3 linked regions of the Kluyveromyces lactis genome follow. The protein of the gene in region 1 interacts with the protein of each later gene in a biochemical or structural test. Links are inferred from orthologs where the notes say so. Each region holds a gene or a part of one and is shown on either strand. Other genes may lie near its edges. The genes, in order: RAD51, RAD54 and RDH54.

The links.
Region 2: the proteins of RAD51 (region 1) and RAD54 form a complex in vitro, tested with the Saccharomyces cerevisiae proteins (13 studies listed by BioGRID, with this or other methods). The link is inferred for Kluyveromyces lactis from reciprocal best matches to the Saccharomyces cerevisiae genes RAD51 and RAD54.
Region 3: the proteins of RAD51 (region 1) and RDH54 form a complex in vitro, tested with the Saccharomyces cerevisiae proteins (2 studies listed by BioGRID). The link is inferred for Kluyveromyces lactis from reciprocal best matches to the Saccharomyces cerevisiae genes RAD51 and RDH54.

What each region holds. Positions count from the first base shown.
Region 1 is NC_006041.1:1,798,016-1,801,051, reverse strand, and holds RAD51 (recombinase RAD51), read right to left. Parts: upstream 1,722-3,036; coding exon 612-1,721; downstream 1-611. Other genes in the region: Arf family guanine nucleotide exchange factor YEL1, read left to right, coding at 2,629-3,036. UniProt on the Saccharomyces cerevisiae protein: Required both for recombination and for the repair of DNA damage caused by X-rays. Its function may be modulated by interaction with other repair proteins. RAD52 interacts directly with RAD51, via its C-terminus.
Region 2 is NC_006037.1:271,277-275,474, reverse strand, and holds RAD54 (DNA-dependent ATPase RAD54), read left to right. Parts: upstream 1-1,271; coding exon 1,272-3,959; downstream 3,960-4,198. UniProt on the Saccharomyces cerevisiae protein: Plays an essential role in homologous recombination (HR) which is a major pathway for repairing DNA double-strand breaks (DSBs), single-stranded DNA (ssDNA) gaps, and stalled or collapsed replication forks.
Region 3 is NC_006042.1:1,089,673-1,093,900, forward strand, and holds RDH54 (DNA-dependent ATPase RDH54), read right to left. Parts: upstream 2,823-4,228; coding exon 27-2,822; downstream 1-26. Other genes in the region: ISC10 (Isc10p), read left to right, coding at 4,008-4,228. UniProt on the Saccharomyces cerevisiae protein: Involved in the recombinational repair of double-strand breaks (DSB) in DNA during mitosis and meiosis. Has DNA dependent ATPase activity. Promotes D-loop (displacement loop) formation with RAD51 recombinase.

The sequences.
Region 1 (3,036 bases):
AAAAAGAGTCGTACTTAAAACCCCAAATAACAGAGTGCCTAGTGACAAGTCTAATATATCGGTAGCACGCTTCTCCGCTCTGTCCCTCCTGTTTCTTGCCAGAATATGTTCTCTCGCAAACCTTTGTTTTACAAAGTTAACGTGTTTTATATAGAAATGCAAAATTACTCTTTCTTGTCTATATGTGGAAATGGTGAAATTTCCAAAAATTTCGCTTCAGATTGTTGACGTTCGGAATTCCGGTGTGATGAGGTAAAGAATATTAAAAGAAGTCAAGCCTATTAATAGCACACTGACATGGAGAAGTGTTTGTAGCTATGATATGCAAGTCCCTTAAATGAAAGGATAGTCGTCCCTTTTCGCTGAGGGAATTATATGCGTTTTATGCGAGCATTTAACAACTAGAGAGGGTTTGCATGAATATACATATAGAATAACGTGCCCTATGGACTATTTATAACACGAATGATATGAACAAATAAATGAGAAGATAGATACGCAGTGGGGTTTTACTAGCAACGTAGGAAATTGAATGCTATATTAAAAATGTGGATTTTTCTTTTTATTCTTTTTTTTTTGGTGTTATGAATAACCAGGTAAAGAGAATCAGATCAATCATCGTCTTCCCTTGGATCTCCGATACCATCCTCGTAGATCGCAAACACACATTCTGCTTCAGGCAAACATGGTGAGTCTACCACTTTACAGTATCTCTGTGGACCTTTCCCCTTCTTGAATCCAAGACGAGTAGTGGAGGAATGAGCCATGATATTACCACCAATCGGTTTTTTTGGATCAGGGTTAAACATCATTCCTCCGTCAACTTGGGCCACAACCTGATTTGTCACTACCGCTGCGACACCAAACTGATCAGCTAGTCTTTGTAATGATCTCATGAACTTGGCAAGGTGCATCTGTCTTGCACTTAACTCACCACGTCCCGAGAAGTCGGTTCTGTACAATGCCATAATAGAATCGACAATAATCAGCGAAAATCTTGACTCACTCATCATCTGTGCAGCTGCGTCCAACAATTTCAATTGATGGTCTGCGTTATAAGCTCTTGCATATGCAACGTTATTTAAAGCATCGTCAGGGTCCAAACCGAACCTCTGCGCAATCGAAACCAACCTAATCGGTCTGAATGTACCCTCCGTATCAATGTACAAACACTTGCCTTCACCGCCTCCCATATCCAAAGGTATCTGGCATGTGACAGCCAATGTATGGCAAAGTTGCGATTTACCAGTTCTAAACTCACCAAACAGTTCAGTGATAGATCCGGTTTCTATCCCTCCGCCAAGTAGAGTATCAAGATTTTTCGATCCAGTAGTTAAACAGATCATTTCGTTTCTACGCAAATGAAAATCAGCCGCAGTGACAAAACCCATAGGCACTAGTCTCGACGCTTCAGCGAGTAACTTATCAGCTTTAGCCTCTGATATACCTTTAATCTCCATTAAATCTTTTCTGGGGGCATATGCCACCGCCTCCGCTGTGTGTAACCCACTTTCTCTTAGTTTCTTGATATCACCAGAAGTGATACCGTTCACCTGCAATTTCTCTATTGGGACAAAGGCGGCTAGAGCCACATCGTCTTCTTCAGCCATAAAATCCGTTTCCTGAATTCTTTGCTGAACATCTTCCATCTGTTCTTCGGTTCGTGAGACCATCAACTGAGAATGGCCCTGAGTAGTCTGAACTTCTTCCACCTGTGACATTTCTAATTCTGTGGAGTCAATTTAGCCTGGTTCAAGCGACCTTATAACCACTACAATACCCTTTCACAACTAGGATAGAAAACTGCTTCTCCCAAGAAAAGTGAACGTAATTGATTAATGATGTCTCATGTAATGTAATTAATAATTAAATTATATAGCCTTTTTCGTGTTTTGGTGTTTTGTTTTTTTTATTCAAATTTCAAACCAAAACAAATTAAAATGGTAAACAGTCCCTGAAGAGTGTTTATTTACATGGCACGTGACTCTTCAGTCACATGTCATATTGCGGTGGGTGGTGGATCAAGAAAGATTATCTCATCATGGTCCTCCCCATCATGACCATCACCGGAACTGAGTTCGAAAGGTTTAAGTGTAACACATGCAGTGCATTGCTTGTTCTGTCTTCCATCTTTTCTACATAGTACTGATAAATATAAAGTAGTGAGCCATATATGTTTGTAGAAAGCCATATTACTTGCAGTGTTATCATGTACAATAGATGTTGATCTTTGTCTCACTGCGTCTTTCCTTAGCGGCTTTTCTTAGCGGCTTTACTTTTATATCAGAATTAGGCAATAATATGAAAAGAAATATCGAAATTGTTGCCAAAATGAAATCTTAAAAGGAATTTTAAAATGGCCAACCGTTACATCAGGCACTATTAAACAGCGATAGATTTGATCGCCAAGTTCTCAAGAACGTCTTATTAATAAGTTCAGCCTTTCTGTCTCGGATATTTTTTTGTGGGGGAATCCTTGAATTCTTCGCTGACCGCTTGAACCTTGGCTTCTACCTTGGATAGAGAAGAATTGAAAGGTGTTTTGCGTATGTCAAAGGGCTTTAAGCAGAGGATTATACATAGTGTAGGGATAGAATCACATACAGAAAATTGCCATAATTGCCATCGATGGGTGCGTTTATAACTCCTAATAAGAACCAGAATCATAACAGATTGATGGTAGGCAATGAACAGTCCGATCCACCAATAGTGGAATCTCCGAAGATGACGAATATCCATGCGTTTATTAACGATGCAGATCTACAAACGGCTGACCAGATGCTGAAACAGACTTACCGGCCCTTGGAATATACACAGTATGCGAATTGGTTAGGTGCAAAGGAGAATAAGCGCGTACTAACGGAATTTTTGAACCTTTTGAGACCTTGGCCGACTTCGTTGTATCTTACTCTATCAAAGCTATCCCATGGTCTTTATTTGATCGCAGAAGCTACTCCGCTAGACAATATTTTAGAAGAACTTGCTGCTCAATGGACCGATGAACATAAGGACAAGGTCTCACACTTTCAGGGGAAC
Region 2 (4,198 bases), on another chromosome or scaffold:
CGTAGTTGATTGTAGCTAACAAAAACTCCAACGGTGGGGCAAGATAAAGCTCTGTTCCATCTGGCCAAAAATTCGTAACCACAGTCGTCACTCTAACTAGAAACAAATCGGTTGGCACCAAAAACTGGTTCCCCGTTAGATTAGAATGGAAAAACTTTTTGAGAATCTTGCCTCCACTACAACGCTTTCTAGCTCTAAATCGGAGAAACTGTCTTTTTTTTTTTTTTCAAAAAGAACGAAAAATGAACATAATAGAGAAGTCCTTCCAGTTTTCTACGCCTGGCAATGTAAATACGAAGCTAAGGAGTTTGCTTGGAGTACCGAAATGGTACTCCCATCTGTTTTAACTCCCCCTTATGAGGAGAGAAACTTTAATGGAGATTCGATTAGCAGAAACATAAGAAGCTCCGACAATTTCCAGTTTTGAGACCCTAAGTAGTTAGAATATTATGTGAGCGTGTTTTTCTTTGATATCTATCAAGATTTCTTTTTTACTCCTCACCACCTCTCTATTTACATTGAAAGTTTTGCCGAAGGAATCCGAATCTGTCTCCAATAAAGGAACAAACCCCCTTTCCCCTCCTCTTTAAAAAAAAAAGTTTGTAAGTGATTTAACAACCGAGCACTATTATCAAAGATGTAATTGAGAGAATCGGAGGTACATGTCCGTTGGCTCCTAATAGTTGTCAAGAGTTGGCGTGTTGGGAAATTATCGCTACCCACATGGGGTTGTTGGAGACGTATGCGAGATTATACTAAGAACGCTGGAGGTTACCCTTTTCGGAGTTTTTGGGAGTTTAATGTGATTTTGTATCAGGTGACTGACTTCTTTTTCTTTTTTTTCGGAGTGGTCTGAATACAATGTCTTGCCTAGCAACAAAATGATATCGAAGGAAAACTGGGTGAGGGGCTCCGAAATTTGTGGAAGTGCGCTCGTTCCTTGAGGCTTGTCCATCATTAATGTGGTAGGGTAACTTCAATGGAATTTACGATTTCGGAGGTAATCTTTTGTTTTGGTTAACGTTCACGTGAATGTCAGGGTAATGCTTTCTTGTATTTTTCCTTTTCAGCAATGTTTACGTTTTTGATTTTTTGCCACCACGCGTTTTCGTGTTTGCCTCAACTGAAATCTCATCATCATCTTTATTTACAAAACATAAAATACATTACTAAAATGATTAACATGGTGAATGATTATAATGCCCTAGTCTTACTTTAATGTACACACTTAACACCAGGGGATATACCATCGTTTCATTTACCGAAAGACTATGGCACGCCGGAGGTTACCAGACAGACCGCCAAACGGGATCGGTGCTGGAGCTCGTCCAAATTTGAGACCAAGAAGGTTGGACACTAACCAAGCACTGGAAACGTTAACGAAACCTTTCAAAGTTCCGTTTAAAGTTAATAAAACCGACCATGCCAAACGATATGGAGTGAGATCTTCAAGAAGATCTCAAACGACTTATGCAAATATGGATTCTTCCTTAGATTCTGATTTGCACGTTAAAAGGAAAGATGCACTATCTTTATCCAGATTGAATGCAGAGCCATCAAGACTGGATACAATATATTCAACATTAAGACGGTCATTTACCGTACCGATCAAGGGGTACGTTCCAAGGCACAATATTCCGATGGCTTTGGGAACCAAGGCAAAAGTTGTTATACCACCAAGACCGTTGCATGATCCGACAGACGAGCTTGCCATCGTTCTTTATGATCCTACAGTGGACGGTGATATCCCTGAGCAGCATGAAGATTTGGAATCGTTTAGACAAAATGCAGTAGACACTAAGAAGTCTCAAAAGGGGAAGGATTCAGAGTCGCAAGACCAGAAAGCAAAGGAATCTTCGCCCAATTCTGCTCCATCAATTCATCACCCTAAAATGCTATCCAACGGTGTGAAGAATAAAACCCTAAAAGAGCTATTAGGATCTTCTGAAGATAATACATCAAAAAAGTTCCCCAACGTACCAGTTGTGATTGATCCCAAATTGGCTAAGATTTTAAGACCGCATCAAGTTGAGGGTGTTAGATTTTTGTATAGATGTGTTACTGGTTTAGTCATGAAAGACTTTTTGGATGCCAAAACAGTGTTGGACTCAAGCTCTCAATCAATGGAAAAAGCTGATACACAAGCTGATTCTAACATAACAGGTTCGAAATCACCGGTTGAAACTGATGTCTCGTCCCTTAAAGACGTTATTAAAATCAATGAAAATTCTAGAAACAGGGGAGCCTATGGGTGTATTATGGCAGATGAAATGGGATTGGGTAAGACATTACAATGCTTAGCGTTAATGTGGACCATGTTGAAACAAGGTCCGCAAGGTAGGAGATCAATTGATAAATGTATTATTGTGTGTCCATCATCTTTAGTCAACAATTGGGCAAATGAAATTGACAAATGGTTGGGACCAGGTTCTCTTTCTTCATTGGCTATTGACGGTAAAAAGTCCAGTCTAAATAATGGAAATGTGGCGGATTCAGTGAGTCATTGGGCTTCAGCTCAAGGTAGAAATATCGTCAAACCTGTCCTCATCATTTCTTATGACACTTTAAGGCGTAATGTCGAACAGTTAAAGAACTGTGAGGTTGGACTAATGTTAGCAGATGAGGGGCATCGTTTGAAGAATGCAGATTCCTTAACATTCACGGCATTGGATTCCATTAGGTGTCCGAGAAGAGTTATTCTATCGGGAACTCCGATTCAAAATGATTTATCGGAGTATTTTGCATTATTAAATTTCTCAAATCCCGGATTGTTGGGTTCCAGAAATGACTTTAGGAAAAACTTCGAATTACCGATTTTACAGAGTAGAGATTCATTGGCTACAGATGAAGAGGTCACTTTGGGTAAGGATAGGTTGAGACAACTTTCAAACATTGTCTCGAAGTTCATTATCAGGCGTACCAACAATATTTTGGCAAAATATCTACCTTGCAAATACGAGCATGTTATATTCATAAATTTAACACCATTTCAGCAATCTCTATATCAGCATTTCATTGAATCAAGAGCTGTTAAGAAGATCGTTAAAGGGGATAGTAACCAACCGTTGAAGGCAATCGGTTTGTTAAAAAAATTATGTAACCATCCAGACTTATTAGAGCTATCTGAAGACATTCCGGGTTCAGAAGAGTTAATACCCGACGATTATCAATCTTCTGTTGACTCCCGCACTTCAAGAAATAGAAGCGTTATTCAGACAGCTTTTTCCAGTAAGTTTTCGGTCTTGGCAAGATTTTTGTACAAAATTAAAACGGAGTCTAACGACAAGATTGTGTTGATTTCAAACTATACCCAGACGCTAGACTTGATTGAAAAAATGTGTTTTAGTAACCACTATGGCGTATTGAGATTGGATGGTACCATGAACATCAATAAAAGACAAAAGTTAGTGGACCGGTTCAATGATCCGGAGGGACAAGAGTTTATATTTTTGTTAAGTTCCAAGGCCGGTGGTTGCGGTATAAACTTGATTGGTGCCAACAGATTGATTTTATTAGATCCAGATTGGAACCCGGCTGCAGATCAACAAGCTTTGGCTAGAGTTTGGAGAGATGGGCAAAAGAAAGATTGTTTTATCTACAGATTCATTAGTACTGGTACCATTGAAGAGAAGATTTTCCAAAGACAATCGATGAAGATGAGTTTGAGTTCATGTGTTGTGGATGAAAAGGAGGATGTTGAACGATTGTTCAGTTCGGATAATTTGAAGCAATTGTTCAAACTTGATACAAAAACCATATGTGATACCCATGAGACATATAATTGTAAACGCTGTAAGAATGGAAAGCAAATTTTGAAAGCTCCGGTAATGCTATACGGTGACGCGACTTCGTGGAATCATTTGAATCACGATGCATTAGCAAAAACAAACGACCATCTCTTGAAAAATGAATTCAATCACAAAGACATCAGTTTTGCATTTCAATATATATCGCATTGATCTTTCATTTTTTTAAAGTACATTTTAATTTCACTACTATATAGACGCATTAATAAATTCGGTTTCTGGGCGGTTCGGAACAGATAACTCGGTTAATATGAAGAGGCAACTCAAGTTTTCGAGATCTTTGAGCCGATCCTAATTTATATAAATACAGTTTGAATATGGATTTCCATATTAAAGCTAATTTTATTACGAGTATGTTTGAATAGAGTTACATGAACATATGTACTTACCCT
Region 3 (4,228 bases), on another chromosome or scaffold:
AGTATAAATAGTAACATATATAACTTTTACACGGAGTCTTTTACCAAAGCATAAGTGATGTACTGTCGTGCATCATCAAAGACGTTATTCATAGCTTCGTCAATTAAGTCATTAGTCTTTTGTGGATCAATATGTTTGTATCCCAATAGGCATTTTCTCATGATTTCTGACTTTGTTCCATTTCGAAGTATCTCCTCCTTCTCTATAATTTTTTGGGCTTCTAGAGCATTGATCCAAATTGAAGCAGGAGGATTGTTTGATGGAGTCGCAGCAGCCTGGTATTCTGGCTGGGCGTTGGCTTCATCAGTACCCGTTATCTCTTCTTCTTCAAGCACTTCTACTTCACCAGAACAATTACAAATTAAGTCGTGGGTATTGGATAAAGTGGACAAATTAATGGTAAACAAGTCCTTCAACTCTTCCTGCTGAAAAAGATCATCATCATTTTTTGATTGATCTGTGGCACTGTCCAAGAACTTTTTAGAAAGCGCTATTTTCATTAACTGTCTTTGAAGTATCTTCTCATCAATACATCCGGTTGTCACAAGTCTATAAATGAAACATGGCCTTCTCTGACCATCGCGATGAATTCTTGACATGGCCTGTAAATCAATGGATGGGTTCCAATCATTATCGAATAATACAAGTCTTGATGCACCGATTAAGTTTAGTCCCACACCGCCTGACTTCGCACTTAAAAGGAAAACAAAAATAGATGGATCATTATTGAAGGATGTCACAATCTGATCACGGGTTTTGGTTGCTGTACTTCCATCTAATCGTGCAGAAGTGTACCCTTCTGAACTACAATGTCCCTCAATGATGTCTAGGGTTTGCGTGTAATTTGAAATCACTACTACTTTCTCGTCAGTCTTGGTTTTCAACTCATGTAATAATGAAAGAAGTATTCTAAGTTTCCCCGAGGTGAATTTTCCAGAGGTACTAGAAGTCTGAACTTGACTAAGCCTTTCTTCATAGTATGGATCTGTTTTGATCAAGCGGGTGGAATTGCAGATTTTTTTGAATAGAGTAATCAACCCCAATGAAGAGTTGAATGTCATGTTGCTGAAATTTAGCTGCCCTTCGGTTAAAATCTTGTGAAAAGCCTCTACTTGTTCAGCGGTAGGTTTGCAAAATATAATGAGATCAGTTCTCGGTGGTAAATATTGTTGTAAAATTTCATTGGTTCTTCTTAAGATAAACCGTTTCGTTATCTCAATTAATTGATCGGATCTCAGAAGTCCTTGTTCTACCAGAGTTTGATTTTGTTTAGCATTGACATCCCTGGATCTGGCGATAGGTAAAATATATTCCCTTTTAAACCTTCCGAAAGATCCTAAAATCCCAGGATTGATAAAATCAATTATTGTATAGAACTCTTCAAGATCATTTTGAATAGGTGTCCCACTCAATACAATTTTCTTCTCAATATCTAATGATTGCAAAACCTTCAAGATCTTAGAATCTTTATTCTTCAATCTATGTCCTTCATCACAGATAACAAGATCAAGGTTTCTCTTCTCATTCTGTAGTTCATCCTTGATACTGAGGAGTTTTTCATAACCAACAATCAAAACCTGATAAGTTCGGGGAACTTTTAGGAAGCTTCTCACTTGAGCCTTATCCTCTGTTGGAGAGTTCCTACTGTGTAAGGTCAACACTCCAATTCTATTCATAGGCAACCATTTTTTGAACTCCTTCTTCCAATTACCGATTAAAGTGACAGGACATACAATGAGGACCTTCGATATCTCTCCAGCGAGAGTTACTCCTCTCTGGTTTATTATAGTCGGATAAGGTGTTTGTTTCAAGAGTGTCCAAATTAGCGTAATTGTCATCAACGTCTTTCCGAGCCCCATCTCATCTGCTAGTAAACATCCTTTTATGTCATCATCTCTCTCGAGAATCATGCTTTCGTCACCTTTTGTATGTACCATGTTCATTACGCAGTCATAGAGAAATTTGACACCTTCGCGCTGGTGTGGTCTTAGTGTCTTCGACAATAGCGGGTCAACAATAACACTCACTTTATGATTCTCCGTTTTGTTCATGATCAATGGATCTTTAATGGAAACTGGATCAAACAACGGCGAATAAGTTATCTGCCCAATTAGTTCTTGACTCAGCGGTGGTAGAGCAGATTTGACAGTTGGTTGATCTACTAGTTGTTTCTGTGCTGGAGGCACTTTAGGCTCTCCGTTTAGGTGTTTTCTCAGGGGTTTGAATTTGGTCGTTATTTTCGGTATGAATGTCTGTATTGGTGGCTTACTTTCTATGGTTGCTTTATGCTTCTTGGCGACTGGAATATCCGTTATTCCAAGTGTATGACTGACTTTGATTTTACATATGTCTTGCACAGAGCTTAATTCTTCTTGATCGCTTATTCTATAATCGATTTGAAACTCGGTAGATCCGATTCTCCATATGGTCTCATATAAATCCCTATCCTTGATTGGAACTGATCCTAAAGAGACACCAGCTTCGTTGTAAAACTTCAATTTATCGTCGCTTGTCATATTGGCGTATCCATCACCATCCCACGTCTTGTTCTTCTTATTTGTAACCCTTCTGTAATTTGCTGTAAATAAAGAAACCTCCTGTGATGACTTAGACACACCAACTGGTGCATTTACGCTGGTTTTCAAACTTTTTGGGCCGGCATACGTTAGTTTCACAGTTTCAGAGCTGGTATTGGTAATTTTAGTATGTGAATGATGAGACTTTGGCCGAAGGCCGGTGTGTATCTGCTCAGAAAGGGTATCTCTTCCAGGTCTACCTACCATGCGTGGACGTTTGAAAGGTTTATTGACATAATGATTCATTTATTTGTACTTTGTCGCTCTTTTCCACTGAAGTAAATGCTTTGATACCAGATGGGGAGCGTACTATTGCCTGTGTTATGCGATGTGATGTATGTTGTTTACGTTTAAGATCTATATTGACATTATGCATATTAAAACGCGAATCTTGACGTGAGCGCTATGAGGGTAACAGTAACAACTCATATTTGCGTCTGCTCCCTTGGTTAAAGATCTTTGTAATAGCAATGACAGGAGTTGATACAAAAGGCCTCAATGGTGGGTAAGCTTCTCTACCCGTTAACATGCATTACTTCTCTTTCTACAAACTCATCCCCAACATATCACCAATCAAAGGACCAATACGATTCTGAATCTCAAAACAATAAGAAATTGGTTCCTTGGCCCAGTTGGTTAAGGCACCGTGCTAATAACGCGGGGATCAGCGGTTCGATCCCGCTAGGAACCATTCTTTTTTGGTTTTTTTTACTCCTTCTTGTTCTACGGTATTTCCCGTTAGTTGACAATGCTTTAGTTCAAAGTTCAATCATTAATATCTCTGTCCAAATAACCTGGTTGTACTGCCAATTGACCGGAGACATTATGTTACTCTTACGTATCTTTTCCTGTATCTGTTCTATATGTGAACCCCATACCCTGGAAGCCAACATTTCAAATTTGAAAAATGCGTAATATTGCAATATGTAACCCAGTTCACTAAAACATTGATACATGGAGATTGAAGACAAACAATTCAACAATAGCTAACTACTTATAATGTCTGAAAGTGAGGAGTACCACATTTCTGAAGCCGTTGATAATGTTGAAGAAAGTGGCTTTCAATTGGCCGAAGAAACCAAAATCTTGCGTGATACATTGGATCTATTGTTGAACAAATCGATAGAACAACGAAGGATTTGTGAAGAATTAAAACAGGAGAATAAATATTTACAGGACTATATTGACAATATGATGGAAATGGGTGATGTGTTGAATAAATGATTGCTGCTTTTCGAATCTTTCCCTTGGCATTAATCTCTTCTTCAATTTTCAAAGCTGCTGTCATCCGTCGACACCACAGAAGATAAAAGCTAATCATCATGTATGGTAATTTTTGTGTGCAACTTCCATGATGCTTTCTTAAAGTCTATATGGATAGCGTTCATTCAGGACCCCAAACAATAGATCTAAGTGCCTATTATATCGATCATGAGTGTTGCTTTAAATGAAAATGCAGGACCATACTCGGCTGCGGCAACGCAATTCGAGAAAGTCATTAAAGTTTTAAAACCTCCATCATTGAAAGAGCAAGCGGTGAACTCAAGGAATGTCAAGAGTAAGCTTGATCGTGAAACGCAGGGGCTAATTGACTATATCAGAACTCCGGAACCAGCGCTTGTGAGAGAAGGTCATACTTCCAAAGTTCTTGT